Linked DNA regions of Rhinolophus ferrumequinum. The main gene of each other region encodes a partner of the protein of the gene in region 2 in a complex. Links are inferred from orthologs where the notes say so. Each region holds a gene or a part of one and is shown on either strand. Other genes may lie near its edges.

Region 1 (7,556 bases), about 73 Mb from region 2:
TGCAACAGCGGTGTGGGTGGGGCTCGGTGAGTATGGCAGGGAGGGCTTAGGGGGCTTCATTTGGGCTTAAAGTGCTATGTGACCTCGGGTAAGTCGCTTGCCTGCTCTGAATATCTGATGCTATTTCCCATTCTACAGAGAATGGCACTGCTCTCTAAGGGGTTTTCCCAATATATCGCACCACATCTTCACCAAGTAGGTGCTTGCTTCTCCGCTCCCTCTGCTGGTTCCCCTGGCCCTTCCGTCCGCCCTACTTGTTCTCTCCTGCCCTTCCCAGGCCAGCACTTTCATTAGCCGAGATGACTGTTCTGCTCCCCAGCTTGTTTCCCAACAGTCATGTCCTCGGCTTCTCAGACCTGAACCTCCCTTGAATCCTCAACAGGGCCCAGCACTACTCCTCACTTCTCTTGCCTCCTATCAAACGACCAAGAGTGGTGCTAGCTGATCCCTAACTGTCTGAGGAATCTAATCCTGAGACACCCCCCCAACTCCTTTCAAGGAGAATCCCTCCACTTCTTGGTATTCATATTGATGCAAATTTGCTGGCCACCCTAATTTAGTCCCGAGCTTCAGCTTTCCCATCTGTAAGATGGGGAGGGGACCACAGGTAGAAGACACTTTCCTGTGCACATCTTGAAATGCATTCGTCATGGCTAGTCACCATATCTGTGTGTGTACACACACACGAGGGAGTGATTCAGGCACCAATCTCCTGAACAAGGAAGTCCTGGGTCCATTCAGGAATTAAGAGACTGAGTACAGCTGGTTGGCGGTTTACTCGTTCTGTCTGCAAACATCTACTTATCAACTATTAGGTGCCTGCCATGATCACAACAGAGATGAACAGGGCACTCTACTGGCCATGGGAATAGCCTCAAGAACAATTAAACAGCATGTGATGTGTTCTAATCCAGCCGTGAATACAGTACTAGGGGAACACTGAGGAAGGAGTGATGAACCTCTTCTGGGGTTAAGGGAGTCCGGAAAAGCCTCTTAGCAGACGCTGTACCTCCCTAACAGTCCCAGGGAAAGCATTCCAGGTAGAAGGAACAGCTTGAACAAAGGTGTATAGGGGAATGGCAAGTGGTCCTGAGAGGTGAGGGTATAACCATCCTTGGGCAAGTAGCAGGAAAAAGAAAGATAAAGAGAGGCCAGACTGTAAAAAGCACTGAATACCACAGCAAAGAGTTTGGACTGAAATCCTCAGGCCTGCATTGTCCAGTGTGGTGGCCACTAGCTACACGCGGCTATTGAGCACTTGAACTGTGGCCAGTCTGAATTGAGATGTGGCATAAGTGTAAAATATACACCGAATTTCAGATTTAGTAGGAAAAAATAATTTAAGATAACTTATTAAAAATTTTTACAGTCCTGGGTGGCCATTTAGCTCAGTTGGTTAGAGAGTGGTGCTGAAAACACCAAGGTTGCCAATTCGATCCCTGCATGGGCACCGTGAGCTGTGCCCTCCTTACAAAACAAAATTTTTTTTACAGTTCTCCCTGATTTGCAGGGGTCCGTTCCAGAACCCCCGGTGGATGCCTGAAACTGCAGAAAGTACTGGACCCTATATACACTATGTAAAATTTTTCCTATACACACATACCTATGAGAAAGTTTAATTTATAAATTAGGCACAGGAAGACATTAACAACAATTATAAAAGAGCAATTATAACAAGATACTGTAATAACAGTAATGTGAATGGCTTTGGCAAAATAAAGGCCAAAAGGGTTATCGGAACACAAGCACAGCAATACCTGGAAAGTTGATCTGATAACCTAGTCAGGTCTACAGAATGGTTACACTGGTCAAAGGGATGATTCACAACCCAGGGAGGGCAGAGCAGGACTGAGTGGGACACCTGCAAGATTTCATCACACACTCAGAAGGCGTGCAACTTACAACTTATGAAATGTTTCTTTCTGGAATTTTCCATTTTCAAACTGTGGTTGACCCCAAGTAACTGAGACTGCAAACAGCGAAATCGCGGATGGGGGGGATGGGGAGGGCTACTGTATGTTGATTACGTGCTAAAGTCATCATACTTTGCCTATCCTGAGTTAAATAAAAAATATTACTAAACTAATTTCATTTGTTTATTTTTTTTTAAATCACGTGTGTGGCTCACATATTTCTAATGAACACCGCTACCTTTGAGAATCTGGTAAAAACTATGGACGCTTTCAAAAAACTGAACCCACACCATACCTCTCTCTCATAATGCTGTTTATAATTTCGGAAGTGCATGAAATCCTTCCTGCAAACCCCCGAACACCCAGCTCCCAGGTCCAAAACGTCTGCTGTAGGTGATCAGGGTGGGGTCGCATAAGAGGGGCGAAGGAGGCAGAGGCATTAACCGGCCTCAGTGAGGGACGGGAGCTGCAAGAGGTCTGAGGCTTCCGTCCGCATCCTAGAGCCCGGCCCCGAGGGTGGAGAGGCACGTGAGGGTCACGGGGCCGGGCCGAGAGGAAGCGGAGGGCTGCGGCCTTCGGCGCGGGGCCGCTTCGCAGCAGGGCCCTCCTCCGGCCAGGCCTCGGCCTCACTCCGGGGAAGAGGGCCAGGGCAAGGCTCAGGCGCCCGGGCCGGAGAGCCCGGGACCAACAGGGGTGGAAATCCGCCTTACTGCTGGGCGGAGGCCCCGCGCCGCTTCCAGGCTGGCGAGTCCAGCGGCGGAGTCGGAAGTCAGCCCGGGCGCAGGGTCTGCAGTCCCACCCGCCTCTCGCCGCTGCTCGCTCGCGCCCGGCCCCGCGCGGGCCCGGGTCTGCGCCCAACGCGCCCCGGAGCTGCTCCCCCCAGTCCCCTCGGCGTGCGACCAGGGAGGCCTGCACCCTCCCCGGCCGCCCAGCCCCTCGTCACCTGCGCTCCGCGCCGCGCCGCTCCATCCGTTCCGCCCGCTCCGCCCGCCGCGCTTCCGCTCCGCCGGCGCTGTCGGGTCCTGGCGCCGCCGCCGCTCTGCGCGCGGCTTCTGGTTCGCTCGCTGGCTCCCCGAGTTCGGGCCCCGAGCGCGGTCAGTCCCCGACCCCTGCGTGGAATCGCACTCGGAGCCTCCCTCCAACCGCCGGGCGCTTGCCTCTTGTAGTCCCAACACCTAACCGCCGGCCCGCGCCCCCGTCGCTGCCCCTCACTGCCCACCCCTCTGGCCTCACCTGGGTTTTCTGCCGCCCGAGGCTCAGAGACGCCCTAGCCTTTCCCCGTGTGTACCCCCTGCACGACCCCAGCACAGGCCTGCAAACAGCCCGCGCCCTCCAGCCTACGCACTTAACATGTAATACGTCTTTTAGCGCGCCTTTATTTTCTCGTCTTGACTAATGTGGGCCGTTTTCCCCATAGAATTCACTAAGTTTCCGCCACCACCCTCACCGCCACCCCTTTAAAAATTAATTATATAAGCCAGACACAAAAGGAAAAAGACTGTATTAGATTCCACTTATATAAGACAGCTAGAGTAGTCAAATCCATTGAGGCAGAAAGTAGAATGGTGGTTGCCAGGGGTGGGGAAGCAATTTGGGATGGGGGAGTTATTGTTTAAAGGGTACAGTTTCTGACAAAGCCTCTGACCAAACTGTAGTCAGGCTTCACTGAATTCTCTTCCCAACTAGGCCTCTACTGACGTTTCCGAATTTTAGCGAGAATCCTGTTAAGTGGGTTTAGACAGAATCCCCCACTCTCTGTATTAATCAGATCACCCTCCGTACTGATCAAATATCAGACCAAATTCCTCATGCTCCAACATACCCCAGGTGATAGCTAGTCGCCCTGGCCTGCTTTCAGCAAGAATCCTGTCAGGTGAGTTTAGCAAAGAATTACCCCACCATTAGTAATTTTCCATCCAGGACCACCACTCCCAGCTCCTTGGCTGTAAATCCCCACTTGTCCATGCTATGTTCGGAATTGACCCCAGTTCTGTGCTGAGGTCTCTTTTCCCCTGTTGCAAAGTCCTAGATAAAATCTGCTTTCACTGCTTTAACTACTGTCCAGATCTGGTTTTCTTTGACGTGCCTGTTTGGGATGATGAAAAAGTTCTAGAGGTTGGTAGTGGTGATGGTTGCACAACAATGTGAATGTATTTAATGCCACAGAACTGTACACTTAAAAATGGTTAAAATGGCAAATTTTTTGTTATCACATACAAAAAACAAACTATTAGATTGGTGCAAAAGTAATTGCAGTTTTTGCAATTCTATTTAACCTTTTAAACCGCAATGACTTTTGCACCAACCTAACAGTTTTTTTAAAAAAGATTTTTAAAAAGGTTAAATATATAGTGGAAGTGTTAGTCCAGAGATCTCACAATTGTCCCTCCTGGAGTCCATTGGGGCTTGTCTTAGAGTTCTTGGTCTGTCTCTTTTAGAGTTGCCTGAGGAAAATATAGGACACCAAGTTAATTTGAATTTCCGATAAAAAAAAACTAATATATGTGTGTGTGTGTGTGTGTGTGTGTGTATTTAGTGTAATTATATCCCAAACTAAGCATGAGACATGCTAAAAAATTATTTGTTGCTTACTTGAAATTCAAAATCAAATAAGTATTTGATATTTTTATTTCCTAAATTTGGCAATTCTACTTTCTTCCTAACACTCTCCAAGTTTTGTCCTCCTTCCCTGCCCCTCCTTCCAAGAGAGTTAGGTTGAATTGTCTTTTGACAAGAACATTCCACCGTCTCACCAGCTGTAGTACATGGTCACCACCAGCTGTGGAGTCCACCTATATTATGGACTGAATACTTGTGTCCCCCCAAATTCATATGTTGAAGCCCTACCCCCCAATGTGGTGGTATTTGGATCTGGGGCCTTTGGGGAGGTAATTACCTCCTTTGGGGAGGTAACTGGGGCCATCATGAAGGTGGGGCCCTCATGATGGAATTAGTGCCCTTATAAGAAGAGACACCGGAGAGTTTGCTCTTTTCTTTCTCTTCACCGTGTGAGGACACAGAGAGAAGGTGGCCATCTGCAAGCCAGGAAGAGAGTTCTCAGGAACCAAATTAGCTGGCACCTTGAGCTTGGACTTCCCAGCCTTCAGAACTATGAGAAATAATTATTCACGTTGTGTAAGCCATTCAGGCTATGGTATTTTGTTTTTAACGAATACAACCTGCTAACGCATTTCCCCCTCACTCCTCCTGAGCAATGACCGAGTAACTTAAGGTATCCAGGTTACATCAAAGGAGGGGAAATGTGCTGTGTGCAGAGGACAGCACCCAGGATCGGGGCCTCGCCACTCATTCCTTGTATGACCTTGGGCCTTGATTGCCCCGTTTATAAACTGGGGTTAAAAGTGCTTGCCCTGCCTCCTTTTGAGAGCTGTCATTGGATGTCAGAAGTTCTTCGTGATCTGTAAAGTTTATTCAAGGACAAAAGGAAATTTGGACGTGCTCTGGGATGTCTGTCTATACATAGACACACAAACACACACCACGTGACAGGAAACCTAGCTGTGTTTTCTCACAAAAGTGCAGCTAGACAGTGCCCCATGGCCCAGGCCAGCCAGGTCACCTCCATACAGTTCACCTTTCACTACATAAAAGTTCTCTGCCAAATCTACTATTTGTAGACTCATCCCAGACCTAATTTTAAAAACTTCCAAGGAGCTGGATTGCAAAGACATTTGACCTCAGCCACTCAAGCTGCAATGGGAATCCTTGACCTCGCCCTGGAAAAGAAAAGCTGAATGTCAGCCTAATGTGTGGACCCTATGGCCCTACCTGCCTTTGTTGGCCCATTGTGTTATTCTATGTATATGAAATATCCAGAATATGTAAATCCTGGGAGACAGAGCATAGATTGGTGGTTTCCAGGATCTGAGGGGAGAGGAGAACGGGAAATGGCTACTTAATGGGTGCAAGTTTTTATTTTGGGGTGATAAAAATGTTTGGAACTACATAGAAGTGGTGGTTGCACAACATTGTGAAGGTGCTGAATGCCACTGAACGGTTCACTTTCAAACTTTCATGACAGTCATATAAGTTTGCTTTATATGACTTTCACCTCACTTCAAACAAACAAACAACAATAACAAAAAGATGCTAGGAGCAGGAAATGCTGTATCCATATGAGGCCAAGCCGGTGTCTTACCCTTTCTACCCTCCTCGGTGTGGAGCGTGTACTGGATGTGAGGTACATCAGAGAACGCAAGAGTCTGAAGAGACCTCAGAGGCCGTAGAGTGACGCTCCACTCATGGACACAGGAGCATGGTGGCAGCACAGATAGACTGAGGGCCTTTTCTCTGTATCCTCCGAGGATACCTTTTCCTTTCCCCAGAATGAAGATGACGAAGACGCAACAGTCTCCTTTGTCACCATTCTTTCAGCCCACATTGGTGGAGTGCTTGCTCTGTGCCTTCAAACAAGTCAGGGAAACGGACACTTAAGCTGATGCTTGCCAGGTGTGATTGCATTTTGATGGAAGCAGTGGAGGGCTTGCTCCGAAGCACGGAGCAAGGCGTGCATTCAGTTCAGACTGCTCTCGGTAGTGCAAACAAAAACCTCACGACAGGGCTTACGCATTAGGAGATGCTGTTTTCCACATTGGAAGAGAACCAGCAGTAGACAGAACGGGGCTGATTTCGTGGCTCCATGGTGCCTTGCGGAACCTGGAATCTTCTTTCTACTCTGCCTTAGCACATGGCAGGCATCCTTATGGTTGTAATACGTATGCTCCATTCCGGGGCATTGCAGCTGACTTCCAGGTGGGAAGAAAGGAAGCACAAAGAAAAAAGGCAAAAGGCATGTAGGAGGCCAATCTTTTCCTTTTTTTTTAAAGCTTCTCTAAGACTCTCCCTCCAGCAACTTCCTCTTACAATTTATTGGCAGGGACTGGATCACATGACTGCTGCTAGCTGCAAGGGAGTCTTGTGAAATGGGTATTGAAATCCCCTGAACAAAATTGGAATTTCATTAGGAGGAAGGGGAGAATAGACAGAGGGTAGTCAGCTGTGCAGTGTCTGCTAGATACACCTAATCCTTCCTTGTGACTTCGGGGGTTGCTCGGAGAAGGTTTCCTGGAGAACATGATGCCAGACACGAAGCTTAAAGAATAAGTAGGAGTTACCTCGGTGAAGCAGGGTGGAGTTATAGGCATTCCAGGGACATCAGACAGCAGGAGTGTACTAATTTAGGTAAGGTTAGCTGCTGCAACAAACTGAAAACTTTAAATAAAAACTTTATAATGGCTTAAATGTAATGGAAGCTCATTTCTGACTAATGGAACGTCTGAAACAGTGGATGGCTCTCCTTCACATTTTAATCCAGGGACCCAGGTACTTTCCATCTAAGACTCTACCATCTTCAACACGGGGCTTCCCAGATTGGAAGGGGAAAGAGCATGAAGAGCCTTGTGGGAGGTTTGATGGAACAGGCCTGGAAGGAGCATGCAACTCCTGTTTACATTCCATTGGCTGGAGCTGGTTCAAATGGCCACATCCAACTGCAGGGGAGACTGGGAAGTACAGTCAATTTCTATTCCCAGGAGGAAGAGCTAGCCAGTTTCTGCTATAATGATCAGGAGGTGAGAAAATGCACAGTTGGGTGTGGAGTAGGCAATGAGACAAAACCATAAA
Region 2 (6,895 bases):
TTCCCATAATTCTTAAGTTGAACTTCAGCATGAATTTCTAAATTTAAATTTTAAAACAACATGTGAGAAGTACAAAAATGACACGACATTTACTTTATATAATCTCAAAAGTCACAGCGAAGTAGATACTAAGCATTACTAAATGTATTACTCTGGAATGTCTGGACTTCTTGAAAATAAAGATTCAAAGTTAAACGGTAATTCAGCTTTCAATATTTTCCAGATAAAATAATATTAAAAGCAGATGTTGCCATATACAGAGAGATATATATCACCTTAAAACTAATTTTAAAGTAGTATGAAAAAGTCATTACCATTTACCCTATAATCCAGGGCTTTTAAACAATCTGAATAATTCCTTAGACTATGCAATGTCTTAATTTTATGTTTTAGGCTTAAACAACATTTTTGCAAAAAATAAAATAAATTCATGACCTGAATTAAGTGTAAAAATCTGTGTTGTCATACAAGCAAAATTTAAAAACATAATTCTTAATTCTATGCACCTGTTTAAAAATACACCTATATAAATGTTTTTAAAATGCATTTAGACCTGCTTCATCATAATGATTATTATTGCAATGCCCCCAAATTTACCAAGATTTGCTTTCATTATTTAACTATCATAATAGAGTTGGAAAAGCCAGTAAAGAACACTAAGTACAGAATAATGTGGTGATATTTACAGAATTTACACATTAATAGATGACTCCAAAGAGGCATTGGAATAAACTTAACAATAAAGCTATGCCTATTGGTCAATATTAATGAAAGTAAATACGTATTCCACCTCATACATAAGAATTCATTTATTACAAAAGCAGCAAATTCAACTCCGACTCAGTTTCTTTTATTAACTTTATCCAATCCCTGTCTTCTAAAAAAGGTACAATTGTCTCTCCTCAAATTAGCAATGAGAAGCAACTCTAAGATAAAGTATCTTCTGATACGTTAAGGATAAAATAAAGATCTAGCTCCCCATTCTCCCTTATTTTGCAACTAATGCACTTGAATCAGGTGGATCCATTTAGTTCATTAAGGTTCTCATTAATCTAGGCAATTCTGAAAAACAATTAGTCTAGATATGATTCATAGTCCAAAAATTAATGAAAATCAGGCACAGAGAAGAGATGAGATGAGCTCTTCCCTATAGCTTAAAATAAAAACCGTGTAAGATTCTCAAAATCCCAAGTACACATTTAATTCTCAGTTACATGGAAAATGACCTTAGTTGTATTTATTCAACAAATAAGTTCTTAATGACAATACTAGAAAAACATGCCAATAAATTACTTATTTAGTCTGGGAATTCACAAAGTATCAGGCAACAGAAAACCTGTAATAACATTCAAGTTCCTTGCTGATAAGAAATAGTTGTAAAATTAGTAAAAGTTAAAATAAAAAAATTTGAAGTAAAAAACTATGTGGTGATTATTCAAGAGTGAAATTCCAAAAACCAATTTACATGCTTATCTCTTCCAACAGACTACATTCTTTGTTTTATCTTTGTATCCCTAATACCTAGCATAGCAACTGGTATACAGAAAACGTCTGCTGAGTGAATCAGATCACTGTACTCTAAGGTGAACCATTTTTAAACCCAATAAGATGTTTTTATCACAATTTTTTGAAGATGAAAGTAAATATTCTATTTTACACATAAGAATTCATTCTTTACTCCAAAGGCAGAGTTGGGGACCTTTGTCCATAGACCTTCATACATGATAAGGTGCAGTTCACTTTGTAACAGTAAATACAGAATCCTCTCCACAAAAAAAGTTAGAGAATTTTGTTATCACCACCAAGATTGTTTTCTAAGGCTGCAAAAGAGCTAATACCTTATAGAGTGAAAAACTGCAAACCATCCCTTAATTTACTCACGCTTCTTTGAAAGACTAAAACCTAATTACACCTAAGTTTGTACACCACTCTTTCTTTATAAAATCAAGCAAAATTCATAGGTAATTTTTTAAAATTACATTCACCTTTTGGAAAACTTGTATTAAAAACAAATTCACAAGCAGTATGTCCCAGTATCTCCAATATCACTTAAACAGATTAATAGCACCAAAAAAACAGACTGCCAACTTGTGTTAATCTTAAGAGTTTCACTACAATAATTAGTTTGGCCTCTAAATTTTGCTACGTGGAACTAAATTGGTCAGTTTCCTGTCACTGGATTCTAAGTTAAAGTCAGACAACTCGATTTTATGAAGCAAAACGTGAGGCAGATTTGCTGTAATTTTTGAAACCTTTCTAGCGACAATGGAAAGTACAGGACATCACTTTCATTTAACGTAAATAAAAGACATGGAAGGAGATAAATTAGCAATCACGTGTTAATTTCACCATGAGAAGAGTTCCTTTTCGCTATCTTCAACGGTTGTAAGAATGTGAAGGAAAAACCACTCAAACTTCCAAAAGTTGACTGGGGAGGGAAAAAAGAAAAACAGGAAACCGAAACAGGAACCCGGACCTCAGCCTCTGCTAGAACTGAACGCTCTGATGATCTGGCGAAAGCCCCGAGAGTCCAAAGACAGGACCAGCCTCCGCTCCCGGGGCTGCTGGGCCTCCCTGGACACGCCCCGCCCGCGTCCCCCGGCTGCAGAAAGTGGACGCCGCTCCCCCAGGGGCACCGCGGGCTCCTCTGGAGAGTCACCGCCCCGAATGCCGAGCCCTCATCGCGCCAGCCTGACCCGCCATTGCTGGGACCCTTATCCCCAAAAGTAACGCGCTTGAGAACGCGTCCCTCTCAATGGGCAGAAAGTGCCCCGAACCCGACGGCTGCGCAGCGACCGCGACGCAAGCCCTCCCGCAGAAACGCCGCCAAGGCTGAGGCCGGAGCGGAAGCTCCCACCCGCAGCCCTATCCCTGCTGCTCCCTTACTCTGTGAGCCGTCGTCGACGCGGTCGAATTCCCAGTCCGGGGACAGAGTCTCCACCGCCATCACTACGACGCCTCCCTCAGTCACAGCTCCAGCCAGCCTGGTGGACTACGGCGGCCTCACCCCAGCGGCTGTCAAAACACGTGATTTCCGGCTCTGGCACCACCCCCGTGCGCGAGGGGCGCGGGGGCCGCTGGGAAAGCGAGTCCTACCCGGTGGCCGAAGGGAGCTGCAGTTGAGGCGGCGGTCCTCACGGTGTCCTCCCGTTTCTACTTGGGCTTCGCCACTGCTCTCTTCTGATGCCACACCTATACCCTCAATTTCGCCCTGCTGTCTCCAAGCTACTTTTAATACCTGGGAGTTGCTCCCTCAGTCGAGCCTAAAAAGGGCAAAATTGATGAGGTGGGGGCTTAACAGGAAGGCGTGGTCCGATCCTCGAGGAAGTCGCTGTCCAGGCGATTCTTCCAAGAAGCCAGCATTTTCAACGCTCTACCTGTCATCACCATCCGAGAGCTGCTTTCTTCCTGCACGTCTTGTGCGGATCGTTCTTGAAAAAAACAAAGAACTGCGAGGAATAGTGACTTTACAAACAACAAACCATAGCGAGGAATTTTACTACTCTACTTATGTGATACTTGCACGCTCTCCTCCCCCTGCTCTCAAAGGTGGGGGGAGGGGGAAAGCGCTGTCTAAGTGTGTTTTTAAATGTCTACCTGCTACCTGGCTTTTCCGAAAATAAGAATCTGTGTTACCCAGTAACGCTACTTACACTAATGTTCATTGCTGCATGGTTTTTAACAGATACTAATAGGACAAGATACAAATGTCCATCAACAGGGAATAATTACGTAAAGTTTAATAATCCACACTATGAAATACTAGATATCTGTCAAACGAAATGAAATAGATTTATAGAGGCATGCGAAAACTGTTAATGTCTTCAACCAGTATTTAATCAAGACCTCCTCTGGTTAATATTACCACAGGGACTAAAACCCTTCAAAGAGTTCGGTTGTCTGGTAAGGGAAATTAGTAAGATATTTTAACTCAGGGATCAACAAAGTACAGTTGATAGATCTGCCACCTGCTTTTGTAAATAAAGATTTAATGGAACACAATCATGCCCATGTATTTGCATATTGTCTATGGCTGCTTCATAACACAATGGCAGAGTGGAGTAGTCCCTACAGTGACCATATTGCCCAGGAGGCTAAAATATTTACTATCAGGCCCTTAAGAGAAAGTTTGCCAGCCCTTACTTTAACTTCAGAAGAGCAAAATAAGAAAAAAAAAAGTCTTTCTATATAAGCTGTAGTCTACAGAGTGGGTTGAAATAACCTAATTTAAAAAGCATAATGATCTTAGAAAAGTCTTATAATTAATACATCAAAGTAATTGACAGGACACCTCTAGGTCCTGGAGGCAAGGAGGCAACCTAAAGTACTCAAATAGACTGGTTTGCAGTTAATAAAGTAGATAAAAATAACTTTTTAAAGATCTGAAAGAGAATAAAAGCAGGCAGAAACCACAGGAAAATTTATTCAGCAACTGGTAATAATTATGTTTATGGCTTTTTGCCTGACAGTGTCTTTCATCGCTTCAAATACAGGATTGCAACACTGCAGTTTTACTGGCTCGAGGTGGAGCAAAATTAAGTTCAGGGTTGTTGGAAGAGATGCCAGAAATTTGGGGGGTAGGGGGGAATCCTGAAGCAAGGGACACACAGAAGGGATGAAATCTAAATTCCGAATATAAACCCTGCCCTGATTCCTGGCTGACCACTAAACTACATGAAAGAGGGTCTGCTGAAATAGCAGTCAGGAGTCCTTGAAAAACAACTGTTGAGAGGTGTGTTTGCTGCCCTTTGATGCACATATTCTCCAACAGATGTGCACATCAGGTAGCAAAAGCTAACACCCTGTGGGTTTAAGATAGCGGAGAACAGAGGTTGGGCTCACAGAGCAGCTTGAAATTTAGAAGGAAAAACTGATAATCAAGGGAACTACAAAGGGAGTGAACTCCAAAATCTGAGCAAAAACACTGGCCAAATCTTTGTCTAAATGAAGAACTAAGCAGAAAAATAAGCTGCTGTACTCTACAAGGTTTGAGTCCAAGCAAACTTACTTCTTTCTAAATTAAAACCACAATAATTTTCTTAAGAATATCACAGAGAGTCACCGAATTGGCATTTTTTGATAATGAGTGATAAAGTTTTATTAACCAAAATCTGACAGAATAGAAAGAAGAAATAGATAAAATTATAAGTACAGTTGAAAATTTTAACACTTCTCTCTTGGTATTTGATATAACAAGTAGACAGAATATAGGATTGAATGATATCTCAACCAACTTGTCCGAATTGATATGTATAAGACATTCTACCCAACAACAGTAAAAGAGACATTCTTTCAAGCATACAAGAAATATTCAGTAAGACAGGCCATATACTATGCCACGAAACAAGTCTCACTACATTTAAATGGATTGAAATGTTATAGTTATATTCTCTGACCACAATGGAATTGTATTAGAAATCAATAACAGAAGAATCTCAAAATCCCTGGAATTCCCTAAATATTAGCACAAATCTCAAGTGCATTATGTTTAATGAAGAAAATCAGTCTAAAAAGTTACACAGTCTGTGATTACATTCATTTGACTTTCTTGAGGAAATAAAACTACAGTGGTAGAGAACATTTTAGTGGTTATCAGGATTAAGGGGTGGTTCGTAGACATGACTACAAAGGGATAGGGCAAGGAATTTGGGGGTGGGGGCTATGGGGAGTAGAACTGTTCTGTATCCTGATTGGTTCCTTACAGAGATCTATACATTTGTTAAAACTCAGAACTGTATACCAAAAATAAAGGCCATTTTGCTGTATGTTAATTTTAATACATCTCTTTGTGGGATTGGCCTTCACATGTGACTTCAGGATTGGACTTCAGGATTTAAATGATGTCAGCTCTTGGATTTTCACTTTTTCTTTTTGTTTCTTCACAGCTTTTGCTATGTGGTAGCCCTTGGCAGTTTCAGGCTCATCACCATACCAGATCTAGCAAAAGAGAAAAAAGGAACATGCAACTGATAGCTCAAACAGAAGTCCCAGAATTAAGTGGCTGGCCTTGATTCGCCTCATTACTAACACATTGTGTATACTGCTGAACCAATCATTGTAAGTCAGGGGATGGGAAGGATGTACGGATTGGCTTAGTCTAGGTCATGTGCTTCACCACTGGATCCTGCAGGGAGGGGTTGAGGGAGAGGTAACTTCATAGGAACCACATGGCCTAAGAGAGGGGGAGAAGCAGATCCTCAGAGGAAAACCAGGATACTGTTATCCCAAGTAGTGGGCTGGTCTTACAGTAGTGCTCTACCTGTAGATCACACTCTCTCCTAGGGTGATGTCTTCTTAGAATAGCAGTTGAGAGCCTGAGCTGTTCACTGGACTCCCTTCTTCTTGGCAGGTGTTTCTTGATACTATTCAGTTTCTTGATACTGAAAACTGCTTTGCTTTTCAGCATTTTCTTCTTAGTTTTATAGCCTTAATCCCATATTCCATAAGAATCAGCAAATAACTCAAACTGAAAACAGGTGTCGTGAAATAGGTACATCTCCCTTATCTTTAAAATATTGGCTCCTCAAGTCCTGGCCACTCAAACTCCAATTGTTGTTCTTTCTAACCCCATCAGATGCCTGAAAAACTGCTGGTTTCTTTGCCTTTTGGCATTTATTCGCTACCTGGTCAGCTTCTTTCCCCAAACCAAGCATTGATAAATGCCAAGTTGAAGAGCAAAATGCAAAATGTTAGATTCAATTCAACATTTGAATTGTTGGATTCAATTCAAGTGAGCTTCTTTTCCTTCCAAGACCTTGATACATCAAGTCTTGACTGCTGCATAAGCTTTCTGATGCCTTCAGATATGTGCTAAATTTGTTTTATCGAAATATACTAACTATTCTTGATGAGTGTTGTTCTGCTGAAAAGGAGTATTATAACTTAAAATGAAGTC

Evidence for each region. Proteins that work in one complex are often made in the same cells at the same time.
Region 1: WASHC4 (region 2) and WASHC1 share a complex: the UniProt entries of both Homo sapiens proteins name them as parts of the WASH core complex. The link is inferred for Rhinolophus ferrumequinum from reciprocal best matches to the Homo sapiens genes WASHC4 and WASHC1.

What each region holds. Positions count from the first base shown.
Region 1 is NC_046293.1:88,119,836-88,127,391, forward strand, and holds the start of WASHC1 (WASH complex subunit 1), read right to left. Parts: upstream 3,009-7,556; 5' UTR 2,857-3,008; intron 2,827-2,856; exon of another isoform or gene 2,624-2,826; intron 2,583-2,623; exon of another isoform or gene 2,209-2,582; intron 1,954-2,208; exon of another isoform or gene 1,758-1,953; intron 1-1,757. UniProt on the Homo sapiens protein: Acts as a component of the WASH core complex that functions as a nucleation-promoting factor (NPF) at the surface of endosomes, where it recruits and activates the Arp2/3 complex to induce actin polymerization, playing a key role in the fission of tubules that serve as transport intermediates during endosome sorting.
Region 2 is NC_046293.1:15,084,660-15,091,554, forward strand, and holds the start of WASHC4 (WASH complex subunit 4), read right to left. Parts: upstream 3,016-6,895; 5' UTR 2,948-3,015; coding exon 2,887-2,947; intron 38-2,886; coding exon 1-37. UniProt on the Homo sapiens protein: Acts as a component of the WASH core complex that functions as a nucleation-promoting factor (NPF) at the surface of endosomes, where it recruits and activates the Arp2/3 complex to induce actin polymerization, playing a key role in the fission of tubules that serve as transport intermediates during endosome sorting.